4 linked regions of the Caenorhabditis elegans genome follow. The protein of the gene in region 1 purifies or fractionates together with the protein of each later gene. This does not show direct contact. Each region holds a gene or a part of one and is shown on either strand. Other genes may lie near its edges. The genes, in order: sax-3, slt-1, eva-1 and syd-1.

Evidence for each region.
Region 2: the proteins of sax-3 (region 1) and slt-1 purify together in Caenorhabditis elegans (affinity purification with western blotting; 2 studies listed by BioGRID, with this or other methods). This does not show direct contact.
Region 3: the proteins of sax-3 (region 1) and eva-1 purify together in Caenorhabditis elegans (affinity purification with western blotting, with the first as the bait; one study listed by BioGRID). This does not show direct contact.
Region 4: the proteins of sax-3 (region 1) and syd-1 purify together in Caenorhabditis elegans (affinity purification with western blotting, with the first as the bait; one study listed by BioGRID). This does not show direct contact.

The regions. Positions count from the first base shown.
Region 1 is NC_003284.9:3,462,899-3,467,529, reverse strand, and holds the start of sax-3 (Protein sax-3), read left to right. Parts: upstream 1-1,602; 5' UTR 1,603-1,644; coding exon of another isoform or gene 1,645-1,674; 5' UTR 1,675-1,687; coding exon 1,688-1,760; intron 1,761-3,664; coding exon 3,665-4,020; intron 4,021-4,564; coding exon 4,565-4,631. UniProt on the Caenorhabditis elegans protein: Required to confine migrating sex myoblasts to the ventral muscle quadrants during their migration through the body and for multiple aspects of sensory, motor, and interneuron axon guidance.
Region 2 is NC_003284.9:14,672,403-14,677,344, reverse strand, and holds the start of slt-1 (Slit homolog 1 protein), read right to left. Parts: upstream 3,018-4,942; 5' UTR 2,971-3,017; coding exon 2,825-2,970; intron 2,782-2,824; coding exon 2,710-2,781; intron 2,263-2,709; coding exon 2,191-2,262; intron 2,148-2,190; coding exon 2,076-2,147; intron 2,024-2,075; coding exon 1,925-2,023; intron 1,876-1,924; coding exon 1,768-1,875; intron 1,700-1,767; coding exon 1,555-1,699; intron 1,500-1,554; coding exon 1,339-1,499; intron 868-1,338; coding exon 796-867; intron 744-795; coding exon 672-743; intron 622-671; coding exon 242-621; intron 1-241. UniProt on the Caenorhabditis elegans protein: Functions as a ligand for sax-3 receptor during larval development. Acts via the sax-3/Robo receptor to direct ventral axon guidance and guidance at the midline during embryonic development.
Region 3 is NC_003279.8:14,829,350-14,836,780, forward strand, and holds eva-1 (SUEL-type lectin domain-containing protein), read right to left. Parts: upstream 5,473-7,431; coding exon 5,349-5,472; intron 3,519-5,348; coding exon 3,492-3,518; exon of another isoform or gene 2,784-3,491; coding exon 2,681-2,783; intron 2,633-2,680; coding exon 2,500-2,632; intron 2,455-2,499; coding exon 2,175-2,454; intron 2,040-2,174; exon of another isoform or gene 1,922-2,039; intron 1,659-1,921; coding exon 1,533-1,658; intron 1,488-1,532; coding exon 1,420-1,487; intron 1,221-1,419; coding exon 1,091-1,220; intron 1,042-1,090; coding exon 916-1,041; intron 872-915; coding exon 695-871; intron 645-694; coding exon 526-644; downstream 1-525. UniProt on the Caenorhabditis elegans protein: Acts as a receptor for slt-1. Required for the guidance of the AVM pioneer axon to the ventral nerve cord.
Region 4 is NC_003280.10:7,591,901-7,596,640, reverse strand, and holds the start of syd-1 (Rho GTPase-activating protein syd-1), read left to right. Parts: upstream 1-1,728; 5' UTR 1,729-1,732; coding exon 1,733-1,808; intron 1,809-1,970; coding exon 1,971-2,074; intron 2,075-3,053; exon of another isoform or gene 3,054-3,332; intron 3,333-4,400; exon of another isoform or gene 4,401-4,546; intron 4,547-4,616; coding exon 4,617-4,659; intron 4,660-4,740.

The sequences.
Region 1 (4,631 bases):
AGAGGAGGGCGGCCACGAATTGGAATAATTACTTAACCAGGGAAGGGGGCGACGTATAGCCCCGGCTATCCCCTCATATTCCATGCGGTTTCGTTCCGTATCGAGCCGCTTGCATGACATGGACATCCGTCATCGCCGTGCTCTTGACGCGCATTATTTAGGTTATTTATCTGACAATTATGAGCTTTCTGACGACCTTATTGAGTTGAGAGCTTTGATATGTTCTCGAGTACTTTCTTGTCTAGAATAAAGCGTATTGATTTTTCTTATTCGCCCGCCTGTTGCCAGATAGTTTATCTAATCAGTATTATTCAATCGCTGGCACAACATAAATCGATACTTGTCTCACTCCTCTTTGCGCGTTTATCTCCCCGCGCATTGCACACACACCTTGAAGAGGAAATCTGATGTCTAACATTCTGCGTCTACGCCTTCTAGCAATTCGTCTCAACGGTCCTCATTTTAAATGTTCTGCAAATGCATTTGTACTAAATTGTGATTTGTTTCTTTTTGGTTGTTAGAGAAACAATGAAAGCTTTTTGTATGTATAAAAATTTTGAACCATTTGGTGATGTTGAAAATCCGTTTTTCTTTTAATTTCAAGGTATTTTCCTAATTTTGGCCATTTTGCTGTGTTTGAAGTTTTTAATTTCCATGTTCAAATTGTAGCTATAGTTATTTTATTGATACTCTGGCAAAAATCAAATTTCCCAAGTAAAGTAAAACGCCTATATAGACTTGATGAAGTTCTACTTAGATTGAAACTTCAACGGATTCTTACTACAATCTTGCACAACTCCTGCGTAAAATAAAATTTTGCATAGCTTTTCGGGAGTCTTGTGCAGTTTGAAACAACTCCTGCACACTTCCCAATCTGCCACGAACTTAGTACTAAAGATTTTTTATATTTTTTGTCAGAGTAGGTTTCCTTTTTCAAGTTGCCTTTTCACTACACCAAATTTTGATTACGCCTCGCCGCATTTAAGAAAATCCTTTCAAAATCGACTTGTTCATTTTCTTTCATCTTCTATATCCATCCTTCATCCGTCCTTCTGCGCGTCATCTTTAACCAGTCTCACTACGTTTGCCTCCTAACTTTGCGTCCTCATTTTTTTTGTTGCTTGTCTTCCTGCTGGCTACTTTTGCCTCCCGTGCATTTTTTCTTTATTTTTTTTTGTCCAACATCTTCCGTCGCGTAGAAGACTAAATTTGTTCTTCATTCTAGAATGTGGCTCTCTAGTCCAATTTAGGGTCGGCTTCCGTCCGAATCGCTCCACCACCACCACCACCGAAAATGCGCAAAAACGGACGCACAAATCGTCTTCGCGTCTTGAAAACGACGACGACGACGCTCGTCAACTTTTCAATTACTTTGTTGTGTCTTTTCCTTTTTTCCTTCTAAATCTATTCTCCCGAGTGTCACCCTAGCAAAGATGAATGATTACACCCAGGGCCACGCTTTTTTCGCCCTTTTCCATCTTTTTCCCATCACCTATTTTGTCTTGTTTCTCCTTTTATATTCCCTCATTCTCTTTCCGTCATTTTGTCGCCCACTCTTAAAACAACCGCCAATAACTTTGATTACTTTTGTGTTTTTCTTGCAGGTGTCTCCCAACTGGAAATTCAGAACACCGCCACAATTAGATGCAGCCTTTGAAATTGGACACAGATTGAATAAAACAAGATCATGTTCAATCGAAAAACGCTGTTATGCACTATCCTCCTGGTATTGCAAGCAGTAATCCGAAGCTTCTGCGAAGGTTGGTTTTTTTTTTCTAGAAAAAAAATGTTAAGTTAAGAATGTACCAAAAGTGTCAAGTTACATGGTGAAAAAAACGCGTCGCCAACAAGACACGCTATTCGATCCACTCGTGGGTTTTCTTTGAATTCACTTGGAAACTTGGAAAATCCATTAGGTTGGGTTGTATTTCCCATGTCGAAGAAAGCGATTAAAACGAAGATTGACTGAATGCGCGGAAACGAATGCCCTCCATCTTGGAAAAATGCTCTTTACTCGCTGCTTTTTCTACTCTTGCGCTATTAGACATGACTCTTCATTTTGTCAAACACCAAAAGCGGGTTCGCTGCTTGGATTGTGAGCTCGTTTGCCGACTATAGTGTAAAAAGATTCGATTATCGTTTTGGACTGCCATCTGCCCTCTTGGCCGAGCCAAGCCCCGCTTTTGGATGGTAATGTTGAGAAAACAATAGTGAATAGGACGGGGGGAGAATAAATGGTATAGAAAATGAATGAGAGGAGTTAGTCTCATTGAGGCGCGTGTTCTCAAGTATTCACCATTCAAATGCTAATCTCTTAAAACAATAAGTCTTTTTGTACAGCGACCAGAGCCAGTGTAATTTGCAACGAAAATATAAGAAACAGTTGGGAGCGACCACCCGCAGACTCTCGATATTTGTCTTGTTCCACATTTCCACATTTCCACAATGTAATTTGTGCAATGTGCAAGTCATTATTCAATGTGATAAATTGCCCCAACCTGGGTCATTTAAACATTTTAGCACAGTTTTAAGATGCATGCGAATATCCGTAAAATTGAGAATCATTAGCATGCGGTTGATAGAAGATGAGAAGCTATTTGAAATCCCTCCCCAGAGACTAGTAGGTTATTAATGAGCTGTTGGCGCTGTCCAAAATATTCAGTTGCATCTCATGTTTTAGAAAGACAGCCTGCTTTTTAGCAGAAGCTTTCAACACCAATGTGTTGCGAAAGAATGACGGGCGAATTGTGAAATTGGGTGTTGACAGGATGAGATATGTGTACATCTTCACAGCTCTTTGGTTTTGTCTTGCCTATGGATGAAAAGGCGGGCAGGCAGCGTAGTATAATATTTTGAAGGTTAACACGGCCATTAAATTGTAGCCAGAGTACAATACATTGGTTCATGGATAGTTTACTCGCGTGCGCACATTTTGACACTGGCACGCTAGATTGTTGAAAGGTTAAAGAGGTGACAGAAGAGACAGAAGGACAGCCAGGCTAATTAAATTGTTGAATCCGGCAGCTTGTTAGCCACACTTTGGTCTGGTAATTTACTAGTGGAAAACAACAGTGGTCCGTATTTTGAAGTGGAGGAAAACAAGTCGGCCTGCTGAAATTTTTATTAAGTGTGTGCGCAGCAGTGTCAGGGTGAATGCCATAAACAAGTGATTCAAAATGGCTTTTTGATATTTTTTGAAGCAGATGGGAGAAGATGGGTAATCCGTCGGAGGTCAATGGCAATCTTATGTAATAGACCACCGACACCCAATAAACCAGCCGTTAATGTACTATCTAGGTTTTTACCACACTCACACACACACACACACATACATAAATTTTGATAAAATTCCTAGTGAATCATTTTATTACCTACCGTCCGTCAAGGACAATAGTGTCGCACATCTCTACTGAAAAATCGGTGAGGGAAGGTGTTCGTTTCGACACCATAATACAGATGTGACAGTATTGCGCGTGCCGGATCGGTCAGATTGATTTAATGCACTTGGACAAGTTTCCTTTCTTATTCACATTGTCAAGATGGATAAAATCAAAGTGTTGATGTATGTGGAAATAAGATGAATGGGAGATGAGGAAAGTAAAAAAAATTCTAACAGGGGAATGATGTTGTTTTGAACCTTTTCAAATCTTGAATATAATTTCAGATGCCTCAAATCTCGCTCCCGTGATAATCGAACATCCCATCGATGTGGTGGTATCTAGGGGATCGCCAGCAACCCTCAACTGTGGTGCAAAGCCATCTACCGCCAAAATCACATGGTACAAGGATGGACAGCCCGTAATCACGAATAAGGAGCAAGTGAACAGCCACCGGATTGTTCTCGACACGGGATCCCTGTTTCTTCTGAAAGTGAATAGTGGAAAAAACGGAAAAGACAGCGATGCGGGAGCGTACTATTGTGTGGCCAGCAACGAGCACGGAGAAGTGAAGTCGAACGAAGGATCGTTAAAATTGGCGATGCTTCGCGAAGACTTTCGAGTTCGGCCAAGAACAGTTCAGGTAAAGTTTAATACTTTGAATAATATTACGTATTTTTTCACTTAATCCTGCACTTTTCTACTTTGACAGTTTACCTTATAATCTCTATTACTGCGGCATTTCCATGGCTCAACCCTGACAGTTCGTATCTCGGTCAAATTGGATTTTTTGTAAAAATTTTAACTGAGCACAGTTTTGTTAAATTTCTCTGTAAATTTATTGTTTTTGAACTTCTTAATATCTTCAAAAGCATTCGAGACATATGCTGTCAGTTAAACAGTTGGGGTGCCGCACAAATAGAGAATAAAACGGCATATTCTGAGTCAGTTCAAATATGTCACCTCATTTTTTAGTGTTAAACTACAGAAAAAAAAAATTATCACTATTTTGTCAGTTGAAAATTTTTGGTAACCCCGAAAAACCGAAGATTTGGACCATCAATGTTACAAAAAACTTCATTCGTCAGTTTTTCAAAAACTGTAAACCGCACTGCACAATTTGTCAACGCGATTTTTAGACCATTAAAAAATAATTATTCACAGAAGCGTTACTCAATTGTTTTCAGGCTCTTGGTGGAGAGATGGCCGTTCTGGAATGCAGTCCGCCACGTGGATTCCCGGAGCCGGTTGTGA
Region 2 (4,942 bases), about 11 Mb from region 1:
GTTTGCACCACATATGGCGAAAGGCGGTTCTTTCAAAGCGGCCGACAGTTTTCGGGTTTCGCGCAGAGTTATACAGGAGGCAAGGAAGGTGTTTTCGCGCCTGCATAAAAGCCTTGTTCAAAGCTTTGTGGCAAACTGTGTAGATTAGCGGTATTCTACGGGTTTATTTCATTTGTCTTATCTAATTGCGCAGATTCTGTTTAACTTTTTCAGGAAGCAACGCTCCTGCTTTTGATCTCACCTTTGCATTTGAACTTATTTGGCGGTAAAGTTGCAAATTTCTTTTTTCTCAGCCGTTTGGGTTGTTCACATCTTGCTCCACTTGTTTCAATATTCTTCTGTAAATTTATTTGCGCCAGCCATTGCAAATTGCAATCACAAATCAGTGGATTCTTGGCAAGATGCAGTGTACTCAAGCTGGTAAGATTTTGAAATGTTACTTCACTGATTGACTTGATATCGTTATCATATAATGACAACATGCTCAACTTCGGGACATGGTCAAATGTTCCCCTCCGAATGCACGTCAATTGATTGGCATTGAGGAGTAATAATTGTAAACTTCCAAGTCCCTCGAAAGTATCCGATTTCAAGTCGGTTATATTATTCCCGTAGAGCACTCTGGAATACAATTTGATGAGTTCGAACAAAAGTGACACCAATGAACTCACAATGTGTGCAGATTGTGAAGACCGAGAAACGCTTTCGGTTGGATTTCAGTGATTATATTTTTGCTCAGATCTCTGAAATCAGAAAGATGCAAAAACTGAAGACGCTAGATGAAAATAAACTTACAGTCGTGTCAAGTTCTTCAGATTTTTGAAGGAGTGAGAGGGAATTGATGAAATCTGATTTTGTTCGAGTCTTCTGAAACAAAAGAAAAATTTTCAGAACATTTTTTGACACTTCTTGGCACTCTTGGAAAGTTTACAGGTTCTCTTTTTGTTGTTGAGTCAATGTTTTTTTTTCTAAGACAATTAAATAGATAATATTGTTAACTTCCTAGAAATACGTTGTCTTGATGTAGTTTTAAGTTTTAAGAACGACGCTCAAAAACTTTAAGAGATTCTGCAACTTCTAACCAGATTAACAGCAACTTTTCGAAATTTTTAATTAAACGTAAAGCTATTTTCTTTAGAAAAAGTACTTTAAATTGGAATTTTTGAGCAATATGAATTTTGTAAATTTTCAAAAAAAAAAGCGTCACACATCTCTGATACTTTCAACACTTTAAAACAAAAATCACGGGAGGCTTCACAAAATAAAACCAAAAATTTCCCTATTTCATGTATAAGTTAACCTATTCAATTCATTTGAAAAAAATTTACAAGAACTTACATTTCTGTGGTAGACGGTGGAAGGTTTGTTGGTACGTATGTCAACCCGGAATCCCGACAATCTACAGTCGTTCCAGTGCACGTGCATGGTAGTGGACAAATTTCCGCAGTTTCGCAGGTTTTCTTATATCTACGTTTTCGGTTTCCGGAACACGTCATAAACTGAAAATTTGGAAAATATTTAACAACGTTTTTTTCCTTCAAAGTTAAAATTTACCTTGTCTTGGAGAATTTCTATCGAGGACCCTTGCAAGTTGAGTGGAGTTGCACAAACTGTTTTATTCTGCCCCTCTGCTTTTTCTAGCCATTTTCGCATCCATCTCAAACGGCAATCGCAATTCCAAGGATTATTGAAAAGGTCCCTTAAAAGCAAACTTCTTTAAACATTCTATGGTATGCTCTTTTTTGAAAACAAAAACAAGCAACTTACAATTGTCGGAATCTTGCATTTGAGGGCTCTTCAAATGTTGTTAATCGGTTTCCATTCAGTGTAAGTACTTCTAGAGACACCCAAGAAGAAATCACATTGTTCTCAAGACTAAAAGAAGAGAAAGGAAAATAGAATAGCCGGATTGAAAAAAACTTACCAGAAGATATGATTTTTATCCAAGTTCAAGACTTCCAAAAATTCAGGACCTTGTAGTTGTGCGTCAGAAACCACTGTTATGTCATTTTCACTCAAGTCTCTGAAAATGAAAATAATAACTAATTTGATTTTTTTTTGAAGAATAAACGTACAAGTGAGTAAGTTTCAGATTGTTCTGAAACACGTTATCTGGTAAATGGCGTATACGATTTCTGCTTAATCGCCTGAAAACTAGAGTTTATTGGTTTTCAAGACTACGAAACTTACAGCTTTTGAAGAAATACCAGAGAACTAAAACTTTGATTGTGAATAGTGACAATTTGATTGTCCATAAGTTGTCTGAAATTTAATATTTAATTGAAAAAAAACGGGTTGTTTTGTTTTATTTACTGTACTTCAAAGTGAAGGGCTGTGTTCTTGTTGCAAATATGAACCGACAAAAATATCGCAAAAATTGCTCTATTGAAATTGCGCCAAAAAAATTAATTTGAAGCCATGATGTTATACTAGACGTTAGTTGAGTTTTTTTCAGTTTTCCCAAACAAGATCTGATCTTAGGGATATTATCTCAAGTGTTCAAATGGTTCAACTTTAAAATTCGAGTGGTTTTAGGCTGTCCTATCACGGTTTGATCTACAAAAAATGCTGGAAATTTTGGCCCACAAAAAGTGACGTCAGAACGTTCTTAACCATGCGAAATCTGTTGAGAACCCTGCGTATCAACTCCCAACTAGACCTACGTAGATCAAACCAAAAAGGGACACTCTGACACCAAGTGAAACTTACAAAGCTTTTAAATTCATAAGACTGCTGAAATCGTTCGGTCCGATTTTGGTTATTTCATTGTCTTGTAGATCTCTGTAAACAACATTTATAATTTTTTCAACCATGGCAAACTAACAATCTAATTGTATCATTCGGGATATTTTGTGGAACTTCTGTGAGTTGTTGGCCAACACACGACACAGTTCGGTCCACGCACACGCATTCTGCCGGACACGTGGCACTTTCAGGTATAAGTAGAATAAATATGAAGCAAATCAGCATTCCGACATCCACAAATCCTTGGGGACAATGAAATTAGTAGTTCAGTTCTGCAAAATGAAGTTTAGACAAGTGGCGGGTGGTCCACTAATGTTTTATGAGATGTTTGTCTTGTCCTCCCATCCTGCCGGTCCATTAACACAACCTCGTGGAGACACGATTTATGTGTGGAATGGCGGTGGTTGTGAGGGAAAAAAGAGTTGGGATAGGGGTGGGTACGGACACGAAAACTTTCCGGGAAGGGTAGAAAAAGAGAAGCAGCAGAAAACTAGAAAGAGCGAATGTTTTAGTGTGATAATGAGACATTGGGATAGAAGACAAGTCCCACTTTCGTGCATCTTCCACACACCACTTAAACCAACACAAATGACAGATAAAAGAAGAGTTGTAGACTTGTGTGTGTGTGTGTGTGTGTGTGCCGGATGAGAATGAGAATGAAATGGGGTAGGCGGGTGACATTGAACACAATGATGATAAAGAGATTCTGTTCTCGTGTCTCGGAGCAAAACAATTGGATGGATGAGATAGCTATACTGATGGGTGTGTATACTAACTATTACCATGTGCACTTATTTAATATTCATCGGGAATGATAAAGTAGATGAGGAAGGGAAAATGTGCGAGGGTTCACACATTGGTTAGTCGTCTTAATACTTTATTAATCTCGTTGTTTGGATAATTAGCGAGAGAAACACAAGCGATATTGGGGGATTCAAAATTGTTTTAAAGGTGGAGTACCGAAATTTGAGACTTTGCTTTTTTAGACCAAAAGACTCCGAAACTACCAAATTTCGTAATGAGATGTTCAGAATGTTTTTCAAAAGAAAGTTATGGCCGCTTAAAGTGTTGAAAAAAAATGGTATATTTTTCAGCTAAAATCTCAAATTTTGGCAACTTTTTAGTTCGTTTATTGGGATGCTTTTTCGGTCGATGCGGGCACAAAATTGTATCATATTTGTGCCCGCATTGACCGAAAAACCATCCCAATTGACATAATTAAGGTAATTAATTGCGAAGACCTACACTAAAAAATGATCAACAAATAAAAATTAAGTTCCAGCCGCTGTGACACCGAAAAGTTGATAAAAGTTGAGATTTTAGCTGAAAATAGACACTTTTTTTCAAAAACGTTGAGCGGCCATAACAAAGTCTCAGATTTCGGTACTCCACATATAAAGAAAGGTACATGTAGTGCATGGCCGTGCTCCAAAAATATGAACTTTTGAGGAAATCCAAAGCAATGCCGCATGTTCAGATCCCTACAATGTTTTAATGCGAATAATTAAAACAAAATTATTATATAAAAAATGTAGAAAAAAAATTTTTTTTTGGTCGACTTCCAAAATTATGAGTGGCAAAAACTGTTTATTGTCATTTTATGACAGTAAATAAAAAAATTCAAAAAAAAACAATTTGAACATTTTTATTATAATATTTGGTCGTTTTGGGACCATAGGAATGGTTTTTAACAACTTCCCCACTGGCACTACATCACCTTTAAATACCTAACCTAACATTATGAATTACTCTTCATTTTTAATAAAAATTAATGGAAATATTAAATTTACGGTTCCTACCTAAATAAATGTTAAGGTATTTTTTCTCAGTAGTGCCATTTTAAGAAAAACAACAACCACTCATCAAAGTAACAGAACACATTTGGGAGAACAAAAAATAAGGGCGCGCTGCTTCATTTTTCCTATATAAATTGTCTCATATTACACGTTTGTTGAAAAGAGCTTTTGTTACTATTGCGAGAAAAAAATTGTAAAAGAAAAATTGTCAGTTCAGAGTGTTGTGGTTAGAAAAAAAATTGTGCAAAGGTATAAGAATAATGAATATATTTTAATTTTTTTAAACATCCAGAACAAGTGAAAAATAAACAAGTTGCAGTATATGTAATTGGGCAAATTAACATTTGCAAGAATTATGCACATTCTTCCAAATACCGTATTTCCTCTATTAGTATTGCACC
Region 3 (7,431 bases), on another chromosome or scaffold:
ATCTGGGATTTTTGTGAGTGTTAAGACTATGTCTACCGAAAAACTACATGGTTTTTTGTTTCAGCTTCCTACCTATGAATCTTGACGCGGCATTACATTCTGTTCTGGCTCTGAATGGGTCTATAAATTGTTTTATTTTCTATGCAATGTCTATACAATACCGAACAACTGTAAAGCATATTTGGATAAAAGTCAATGTTGAAGGTAGAGTAGCAACTATCAGCAATGGATTGCATCGTCTTTAATTGATTCGAATATATCCTCGTCGGCAATGCCAGATATTTTAAGCAAGATACTGCCTTGCGATGCACCATGTTAAAATGAAGTGTTTTATTATTCTCAGTTGACGTGTAAATTCGCCCTGAATTTGCTAAAATGTGTCTATCAACTGAATCATTATTTGTGACTTTAAAATGTTTTACTGAAACAATTTTTATATCGAAAGCAATGATTTCCAACAATTAGAAGTGACTAGATGAACCCGTAGAAGTAAGACAAGAGTTATGGATGTGAGAGGAATTAGATTTAAAAATCATAGTGACTATAATGTGGATTGGATGTTGCTGCGGAACCCATCGAAAATCGGAGGAACTGCTCGTCTTCAATGTCTTGCATCATGTGCTGTGGAGTGATTGAGCCACCATCTAGAGGTATAGCGAAATTGCAATATATGTAAAGGTTGTAAAGTACTTACAATTACTTGACACCAATTTGCTAGTCTCCAGTGACCTTCTACTTCTGCTTCTCCTTGAGCTCCTCGAACTATCCTTGTTTGAGGAACACAGTCGAGTGATGATACACGCGGAGAGCACAACAATTGCAGCCATACTCACGGCTAACACAATACACATGACCGCCTTCTCTTTGTTTTCTGAAATCTAGGATGATTTTCTGAGAATTATTTGAAACTCATACCTTTAAAGAACTGAACAACTTGAAGAAGATCGTGCCCAACACCCACTAGGTTTGGTTCCACTCTTTCCGTTATTGGAGGAGGATCTTGCTTTTCCATTCGATACTCGTCATGGGTTACATAGGAAGCTACAAATTGAAAGTTATATAATATCAGTTTAGTGAAAAAAAGCGATACCATCGTTAGCAATTTGATGTACATCGGGATCCTTAGCCGGCTCACTATCCACCACTCTTTCCCACTGTGTCTTATCATTGACATCCTTGAAAAATCGTTCGTCATCCTGTTTTTGCATTGCGTCGGCTTCCTGAAAATTATTTTGAGAAACAGTTTTCAAAAACAGCGTGCCCTCTATTAATATGGCACTTCTGTTAGTTTTGCCCATCTAACAGAGTTGCGCCATCTTTTTTAAAAAAAGTATTGTATGATTTAATGATAGAGGAAATACTATTACTGAAGCGTATGCTGTTAAATTTTAATCGAAAATGTTAATTAACCGGACGGACCTTCAAATAAGTTTCCAATGAGGTCAGCTCGCCTTTGATGGCCTCCTCTGAGAATATCTCCTCGTTAACTGAAAATATTCTACATTATCCTTAAACTTGATCTGTTTTATTACCACAAACATAAACGACATGAAGATGCCCATGTCTGCAATGACCTTTTATGCCATCACTTTTTAGTGTGCACCCTTCCTTGGCGTGGCATTGACGAAGTACTTGAGGTAAGACGTCTGAGACGCATTCTGAAATTTTTTTGATTAAATAGTAAACGATAATTCTATTTTTCCTTCCACACTATAGTTTTTCAAAAAATTCGATACAATGAGAGTCTTGACATCTTTCCCATTTTCCGTCAATTCGTACCAAACGGAAATCCTACTTTAGTATTCACCCTTCTCGTGTGTTCCTCCTCCACCACCATCCCATTTCATTTTGAACCCAAAGCCCCGGATCTTCAGAAGACAATTGTCAGAGTGTTTTCTGGCTACGTCTCTTGCTAACCAGTACTATCTTACTTTTAGCTCATCGGGAGGCTCAATGGAATGGATAGAAGAAGAAGATGAGGCTAATTGGATGTGTGTCATCAACTCACAATGGGAAGAATGAGAACAATTGCGAAACAGTGAAAGTATCAGAAAAGAGGAAATAGAGAAAAGGTGAAGCACCTCAAGCTCTGCATTTTATCAGAAAGCATAATTTGTTTAATTGGTCTTTGTGGTTCTGTTTGACAAAATATCTTTAAAAACTTTTCAACTTACCATGTCTAATTTCGGTTTCGGGATCACATTGAGGCGATGTCTTCATTTGTGCGGAATACACAGCCAACCGTCTACCTTCCCTACACTCTAAACGAATCTCTGGACGAGGTGGATCAGTGGGCTTTGGAGTACAAAATGTTTCCTCATCGAAAGACATTGGAATGCAACCATATGCCATCTGAAGATATTTTGAAGTTGTTGGGCACGGATCATCTTCAAATGTGTTTGAATCTACGACAACTGTACATTTTCGGCGCTTATCGCAAAGTTCCGATATTCTCTGAAACTTATGATTTCAATTGACGAGTGTTTGGCATTGATTTACCGTATGAGCTTGTATCACATCACAAGTACTTGAGTGATGGATCATTGATAATGGATCTAGATTAGCTTCGGAATGCTTTCTTCCAGCCTGTGGAGGGCATAATTGGTTTTCTGGGACCACGCGGCCATAAAACCTGAAAACTTGTTGAATGAATCTAGGATAGATTGATAATTTTACAAACCCGGTTTGTACAGAAATCTGTGTATTTCTTGGGCAGCTTAACGTGATTCGTTCTCCATCGCAAGCTTGAACTCTATTGGATCGAAGTGACTCTCTGAGGATTCCTGCAAAAATGATTGTATTTTTGATTTTAAATTCCTCCGCAAAAATTTTTTAGAAAAAAGCGGTTCGTTTTCGTTTCGGTCCCTCTCGATCACACTCGCTGGTGTGAAGGTCACCAGGTACTAAAACTGAGAGTGACTGAGTAAACGGAGTGAATTAGTCGGTGTCAGCGTGCGAAAGAAAAGAGAGGTCATAAAATGGACCCCCATAAAGTTTTTGAAAAACGTCCGATACTTTGGGCATAAGTGTGTGTGAAAGTTTTGCGAAAAATGGAATAAACTGACCATGACTCCTTGTTGAACTATGAATTGCTATTAGTTTGAACAAAGTTACCATATTAAATTATTTCAGCACTTTCAAGTTTTGCCCTAAACAGCTAGCACAGTTTCGAATCTTCGAAGATACATCTTGTGAGCAAATAATAATGTTTATCGACAATAAGCAAAGCTTCACTTTTAATTTCCAAGCAAATCATTCCACCTTATCCTTTTTCAATTCAACTAGCAATTAGTAATATCTTGAACAACAGCAGCTGGCGGCTTGCTGATTCCTCTTTTTCCTTGATTTCTCTTTAAAAAACGACACCTAGCAATTAACAGAGAGGAGAACAGGCAATATCCAATCTGGCTTCTTAAGAAATAAGAAAGCATCAGTTCCAATTATGCGCTGTGCTTAGTGAACTGGAAAAAACAGCGGCATGCGAAACCTACCCAGGCGAGCCCGAACAAGTAGAGCTGCTGAAAATTATCGGTTTTGTGGGGTTGCAAATTTTCAGATAAACTTTTGTTTTGGAATATATATATATATAAATTTTCTTGTCGAATGCCGTAGTACATGACTTATTAAATATGTGCATCTTTCATTTGCTATGATATATATCTTTTTGCGCAAAATCGACTACATTAAAATAAATTTTTAGAATAAATTATTGGCATTTAGAGTTTGTTGGGTTATTTCTAAGGCTTAGTAAGTTTAGCAAGTAACTTTTGCGGTGTCCCTCCGCATTTTCCCACGTAAATTCAGCACAAGCTAAAGTTATGCTGCTTCAAAAGGCAGGTGTGCTCTCACGCAAAGAGAGCAACCGAGGAGGCATGTTCCGGTGGCAAATGGAAATGGGCTCGTATTTCAAGTATTGGAATGGATTGGAATTGCCAAAATGTTTATGTATTTCTACGGATCTGCTGCTGCCAATCAGAACAAAATAAGGAATTTGCCAAAATTACGTTCAATAAAATCTCAAGCTATAGTTAAACATTTTCTTTTCGTAATAACGTTCATGATTTGACATTTAGTTTCATTTGTTTTTTTTTTCTATTTCTCGTTTACCGCTGAGCTCTCTGCTCTCGCGGAAGCTGTCAATTGATACATAGCCATTAGCTCCCTGGGTTCTCAGCATGACCACGTAAAAACCCTCTCCGTGTGGTGATAATGTTGCTCTGAGAGCAGCGGGCGAGCTTTTCTCTTTTTACACACTCGACACGCATGTTGTGGGGGGCTCGGAAGCTGAATGAGCACTTTTTTACGGGAGGATTTCGAAATGTTTATTATTTTTACAAGGTGGTAGTAAAATTCGATTGCAACATCCCAACTTTGAAATTCTCAATAATTCTCGAAGATGATGTCCATTTTGTTTAGAGGAAGCTGAGTGGATACTCCTCTTCATCATCATCATGTTCATGTCATGACCCACTAGATATAGAAAAGAGACATTTGTTTATAACATTGTGCACTTAACTATGCTTATTACGCCTTCTGCTGCTATGCATCCGGAAAAGAGGAAGGCAACAGACCCCCCGGGTAAGGGATAAACGGGTGAAGGGGGACACACACTCACTTTATACAATTATGGAATTACGGGGGGCCTCTCTTGGAGCTAGAGCAGTAGAACGCAAGGGCGGAAAAGGAATTGTTGCTAATGGAGATCTTCGGAAAGGAAATGGAGGTTTCGAATTTTCGACGAACTCTATTTCATTGTACTTGAATTACTCTTATTCAAGCCCCTTGTTATTAAAGGTGGAGTAGCAACAGTGTGGAAAGTGTTAAAAAACTACTACAATGGTACCAAAATAACCGAAGATCATAATAAAACTTTCCAATATTTATTTGAACATATTTTATTTACTGTCAAAAAGTGACAATTACTGTTATTTCCACTCATAATTTTGGAAGTGGACCAGAATAATTTTTTTTTCCTGCATTTTTTATACTTTGATTTTGTTTTAATTATTTGTATCAAAAAGTTGTAGGGGTGGAAACATGCGACACATTGGATTTCCTCAAAAGCTCATATTTTTCAAAATTTTAATCATTATAAGTGTATTTAGACAATACCTTTAAGAAGATGAATTCAATACTAGAAGTTAGGAAATTTCTGACCTACAAATTTCAACTCATCATGCGAGGTATAATAATAGCTACGCAATAAAAATGACGGCGCGAATAGATCATCATCTTGATGAGTGATGAATGTGTTCGTTTAGCGATAGGTTTCTACTTCAAAAAACGCCTTTCAAAAGGAAGAAGGCTGGGAAAGTATAAGTTTCAAGTAGAAAAAAAAAAAAACAAACCTTCGATTGGATTAACTTCATGATGATGTGATCCACCAATAAATCCGCTTTTCAATTTACCATCAGTTACGATAATTCCAAACCAAAATAAGAGCAAAACCGGGGAAACTATATGCATATTCATGACAATTCACATGGGAAGCTGTAAAATTATTTTTAACTCCTTGGAAAAGTTAAATAAAAGTATGACAATAACAATATGAGAACAAAAATCACATAGGTTAGCTGTCAGCCTTGACGAAAAGAAAACGGGACACTCTGAAGAAGCAGAGGGACATGCAAAAAGGGGGTGGGGTTTCCCAAGCCACGCCTCGTTGCCGAAACTGAACTGAGAGAACGATAATCATATTTGAAGGTGTCAAAAACGGTTGTCAACAACAAAAAATGGAGAAAAGGAGATCAGTTGACTACTCTCCTCCCGGAGCACCGCCTTGATGTTGCAGGTGTTGGGAAGATATTTGGGGGAGAGGCAACTGGGAGGAGGGGACAAATTGTTGTGAGTGTAGTACACACCCTATTGCTGTTGTACACAATAAAATCGAATGGAATGCACATTTCGGAGAAGATCAGCAAAAAGTTGGTTACTAGGCAAGGATAAGAATAAGGGGTGTGTGGCAAATATGCCGAAGTTGCCGAGCTCGGCAAGTTTGGAAATTTGTCGCACACATGAAAAATGTTTAATACACATTTTGTACAAAGTTAGATATAAAACCAATATACTTATTTTTTGGGGGAAAATGTCAAATTATCCTACTCACCAATTTCTTTTCTAATAATAATTACAAATTCATCAATTACAAAACTCCTCTATTGTTCTCCCTAATTTCATGTACACCTGCCCATAGTCCCGCAAATTATTAGACTTCAGCGTGAGAAACTGAAAAACCAAGTTGCTTTCGGTGCCCAGCAGTACAACAAAAGCCTAATCGCCCCAGGCGGAGCATGGGGATGAGCTAACCTTTTTCGCCCTTTAGTGGTGTACTCATCCTTTGAAATATGTAGTACAGAGATGAACATCATGACAATAGTCAATTAGTATGCAAATGAGAGTAAGTACTTGAGAATAGTGAGGAAAGTGAGGCATAATCTATGTATTGACCAGAATATATTTTAGCTAGTGTAAAAGAGTATTAAATAACTGTTAATAAGATACATGGAAATTAAATTCAGAATTTCAAATATTTTGGACTTTTTATAATGAAAATACCATTCTGCCATAATGGTTGAATAAAATTGGTTATTAGTCCTTGTTCCTTAAAACCATAGGAAATCCAAAATCATATAGTAAGCATTCGTGAAGGTAATCCGTTGCGCTCTTTGTTGTTCGATTCCCTTTTCCCTTCCCCCTCACCCATTCCATTTTCTATTCAAAAAGTGGTAATCGGATTTTCAGACACATGCCGACGATTCAGGAGAAAACGGCTTTATGAATGAAAAAGAAACGCACCGCCGCCGTGCATTTTAGTCTCTGAGCTCACAAGTGTTGGCTGCAAAGGAGACGGGAAACGGCGATGAGAATAGAAGTTTAAATGTAAAATAAAATAAAAGAAGGGAATGTGAATGACAAGTGTGCTCTTGTCAATATCAGATGTTATTCTTAAAATATAATTTTTTTTGAAAACCAAAAACAAACGCATGTATTTTAAAAAATCTGCATAAACATCCATATCAGGGGTGGGCGGCAATTGCCGTTCTGCAAATCAGCAAATTGCCGGATTGCCAATTTGCCGGAAATTTTCAATTCCGGCAAAATGCCGTTTGCCGGAAATGTTTAGAGGGATTTTTTTATAATTGGGAAACACTTAAAACTGTACCTTTTTGAAATTTTTTCCGTTTTCTTTAGATATTTTCATAGAATTCGCTTACTTTTCAAAAAAGGCGTAGGGACATTCATAGGATGCGTACAATTTTTCCCATTGAAATTGAAGTTCTGGAATTTCCGAAAAAAAATGTAGAAAACCACAATTTGCCGAAAAGTTTCGGCAAATTCGGCAAATTGGCAATTTGCAAGAAGTTTTCAATTTTTTCGGCACATTGCCGATTTGCCGTCCACCCCTGATCAATATGAGCATACCATGTATGC
Region 4 (4,740 bases), on another chromosome or scaffold:
GAAATTCAAATTAATAAGCTGCAAATTCTGTGAAAATATAAAACCAATCATTTTATTGTTGACTTTAAAGTCTTTAAAAAAGTACATTCATGTATCTTAAACCTACAAAATAACTCACTATGGAGGTGCATATACGAGTAGAGGAATCAACTACCAAAAGATAATTATGTAAATCTGAAATTTTTTGTTAATGAACAAAAAAATTAATGCAAACTTTTTTTTCTGTAAAGTTGACCAAATTCATTTTGACATTTTAACTGTGGGGTAGCGGTGGTGGGAATTTGATGCAAATAAACTGATGAAAAAATTTAAAATCACTCAAAATCATTATAAATTTTATGAAAGTATTTAGATTTTGAAAATGTTTAAATCTTGGTTAAATGCCAAATTGACTTAAAGCTGTGGCTCTTTGAAAAATTTTCAGCGTTTTCGCGTGGTTGTACCTGGTTCTACTATGTATATATGCAAATACAAGTAATTGAAATAAATGTTTTTCCGAAAAGTAGTACTATGGCATTTGGTCATGTTAGAAATATATGAAGGTTTTAAACAACTTCCCAACCGGCGATACCTTCAAGTAAGTGATTAAAAAAGTAGCTAGTAATACAGAGCTAAAAGGGCTAAAAAGGCTATTGGAAAGAAAAACTCGTAAATTTAAGATCTTCAATTTCAAAAGTACACAAATATCTCATTCAAAAAAAAAGACTTCATTCTCCGATTTTACGAAAACTCATTTTTCTAGATGCGCCCGAAACATCCATCACTTGGCTTTTCAGATTCTTCCCATCTTTTCTTCGATTTTAGTTGAAAAGCTGAGGGCTCATTCGATTTCGTTCAAACTCCAATTAAACGATTTTCCGATTCAAATCGATCATTGAACGGACATGAGAGAATTATGTAGTCTCGTTCTCATCCCATATATTCAGTTCCTTTTTCATTTCTTTTGTTTTCTCTCCATTGCCCGCATATCCAGTCAGTCTCGCCAATTTCCATTGCTCCAAATTTCCTGCTATTATTCATAGTATACGCCATTTTCGATTCGGTTTTTCACTAAACAACGAAGAGGAGAAGAAGGTCCCTCCTTTTATTGACTTTTCGTTAAATACTCTGAAACGTGTCATCAACCTTATAATTTCTCATGTTTCATTTGAGTCCATTTTGCATTTGAAATGTTTTATGAGATGTCATCTGTCTCTTTTGTGTCACTATAACAACATATTCTAGATTGAGATTCTTATTCTCTTGTTTTTTTTGTTTCATTCTGTTTTAAACGCTGTTTCATATCCTCTCCATTGTAGAAATAGAGGTTTGGCTATTAAAAACTGTAATTGAAAAATAAATGGCATTGTTTTCCTTTTCAATAACCGTTAAATTACCTTTTAAAGGTGGATGAATTCCGTTTCAAATGTGGGGTAGTATAAATGGAGGATTTTTTAAACACTAGAAATTGTCCAAACTCCGAAATATCATCAAAAACGAACAAATTCAGAAAGAATGAAAAGTTAAACTTTTGAAAACTTGTTTTTTTTAATTCGGCAAAAATTGTCTTTTTGAATTTTCTTTAAAATGAGATGCCACGCCCACCTTCAGACCAAACTTCTAACTTCGTCGCACACTTCGTCTGATTGGCTCTTACTGAAAATTATTGAAAACTATTTTTTGAATAAATGTTTTCAATTATAATTCAAACATATGACACTTCTATTGCTTCAAATTAAATATGTACAGAGTTATGCTCATATCCACAAGTTTAAAGTTCTTGACAATGTTAACATCCAACGGATTCGGTGGCACCAATCCACCAAAAGGTATGTTTGGTAATAAAGGAAGGGTCAATGTTCATTTGGATATATGTCACCCTTATAAATAAATAACGTTGTGCTCATTATTGTTGACTGACCCCCAATAATGTGTGAATAAAAATGAAAGCAGACTTCCGGAAGAACAATAAAATTTATATTTCATTTCAGGAATGCCATATCCACCAACCTACCTTTACACAGAAGAACCACAAAACGAATGTTGCTGCTGTTGGTTATGCAGATTACTGTGTTGTTGTTCTCCAGTCGATCAGGTATCTCACTCATCAGTTTCTTTTCTTTTTATTTATTTATTTCTGTTGTGCATGGCAGGCGGTCGGAAAAAAAAGTGGGGAAACTCGATTGCCGTAGTTCTTGAGAAATTCAATTTCGATGGTGTCTAATCTTCTCGCATCAGTGCACTCTTTCCCTTAAAAGAGGAGAAAAAGAAGAACTACTTTCGGCTCGAACATCCCGACAAACCTTTTTCCCCTCAGCTTCTCAATACCCAATTCCTATGTTTCTTCTCGTGTATCCATAGAATCAGTTGCCACGGTATAAATCTTTATGCGTTTTGTTACTACTACCTTCGTTTTTTCTTCTTTTCCTGTTTTCTCACTTATATTTATTTTTCTACAAACATGTATTGTTGGAAAACTCAAAATCCTGATGAAGGTGAACAGGTAAAGTAAAAAAATGTTTTAATTTCTGAAATATGGTTTTTGATGTGTCTTATGAAAGTTGTTGAACTTGAAAGCTGAACGAAGACTGGAAAAGGAACAGTTGTAAAAAATTCCAAAATGTTGTGTATATATTTAAGGAGATCCTAATACCACATTTAAATTTCGAACTAAATCTAGAATTCTTTCATTACAACAAAACAAAGTGTTTTAATCAGTTTCTTTATAATGGTTAAATATAATAGGACACAATGAATTGAAAATCATTGCCATAAGTTTGAAAACTTTCAATTAACCACACATATATATATTAATTAATATGTATGTCTTAGAAAGTGTTTCAATGTGATTCAAGTTCTAATATATATTCTCATTCGTCTTCTATGGTAATCCTTGATGTGGGTACATTTTAAATATAATAATGAGAAGTCTTTGCGGAAGAAGACGAAGAGGGTCGATGTCGTTTGGTGTGAGCTGAACTTGATTCGAAATCTACGGGGGGGGGGACGTCGTTTTGTGCATGAGCAACGAAAGAGCATGTCTCCCAGAGAGTGACTCAACAGCGGCTACTACTATGGGAAACAAGAGGAGAGATGGAGAAGTATAAAGAAGAGGACGAAGAAGAAGCTAGTAGCCGTTGGCTCAACTTGGTCCGCTCTATCTCCCTCTGCGTATCACAAATTTCTATGCCGTCTATCTGAACTGCGCGGAGACGAGAGAGCAACGGCGACTTGTGTGTGTATATGTGTGTGCCCACTCGAAACTAAAAGGAAACGAGATCGATAGACGGATGGCGACGAGGCCACCGACGAAGCTCCGACGAAGAAGGAGAAGCCGTCGTCGCCATCACCAGTCTCTTCCTTCTCCATTCCATCGCCGTTTTCTTCTTCTTCTACTTCTTCCCTCATTTCTTTTTTCTATTCCACTAAGTTTTAGACACCGCAAGTAGCAGTAGCAAAAGGGCGTCGGGAGCTCACTGATTTCTTTCTTTTTTCTAGTCCCCCTCTTCTGCTCTATTTTTTTGAATGAATGCACACTCGGACTTCAAGTCCCCCGTGAGAACATTAGCTAATCCCTGAATTTTTTGGGTTAAGTGAAAATGTTCGAGTGGGGGTAAAGTGTTTTGAACCTAGATTATGAAGACACACCAGAATAAATTGATGTAAACGTCTTGTGAACTATTATAATCTAGAAGTATGCTGGAAAATTTGAAGTTGATATACATACATATAAAATAATATCCTGTATATTTTCTAATTTAAATTCCTTGAACATTATGAACAACTAATATAAAATTAAAAAAAAACTGTTCTCAAAGTATGATAAAAATGGTGATTTCCTATTAAATTTGTACCCATATTGCTCTACTCTGACGGCTTGTATCTCGAATGCCTTTGGTTTTATTAACAAAAAGACATCAAAATAAAGATCTGAACATTCTTTTGTGAAAGATAATCAACTTTTATCAACTATTCACACAACCCTTTTTTCTCGAAGAAACTCAAAAAAATGTATTTAAAGTCGAATAAAATTTCATAACTTTATTGCTAGATCCATTCACTTTTAACGACTTTCTGTTGTCTCTCACACTTATAGCGGTTTTATTTGCGTTTCTGAAAGTGAAACCATTTGAGTATTCGAGTATACCCGCGTATTTGTTTTCGAAATTCATCCTGGACACAAAACAACAGCTTTTCCATCTGCTTCCTGAAATTATTAGTTCTCTCACTCTCCATTCAACTCTCTCTCATTCATTTCCTTTTTCTGCGCTATTCGTGAATAACATCATTGCTCCTTTCATTCAGGAACTTCTATCTGCCGGTTTTCTTTTTGATAAACCAAAAAGTTTTGGGAGATTGCAGGACTAGCCACGCGAAAAAGGACCCATTAATTTTTGTGTGTAGTTTTAGGACTCTCTATCTCTCTATCTCTCCATCTTCCTCTATTTCTACTTTCAATGTCCTTTCTAACCCAAAGCATTCATTGCTCGGACTCTGGACCGCCCGTTGTGCCTTCATGTGCATGTAAGGGGTACGCCAACCACCCCCACCAAAACTCTTTCGTGTTTTAAAACATTAAGTGTTCAATAACGTTGCCACTATTAATCAATTTATTTATTTAACGTTCTATTTTTCAGACCGCCTCACGCAGTCGCATGAATGCCAGTCAACCGCCTCCCGGTGAGTCTTTGAATTTTTGTTAGACGATTTAAGAAAATATAGGTTCTCAGCAGAAAATACCCATTAAATTAAATTTTGAAC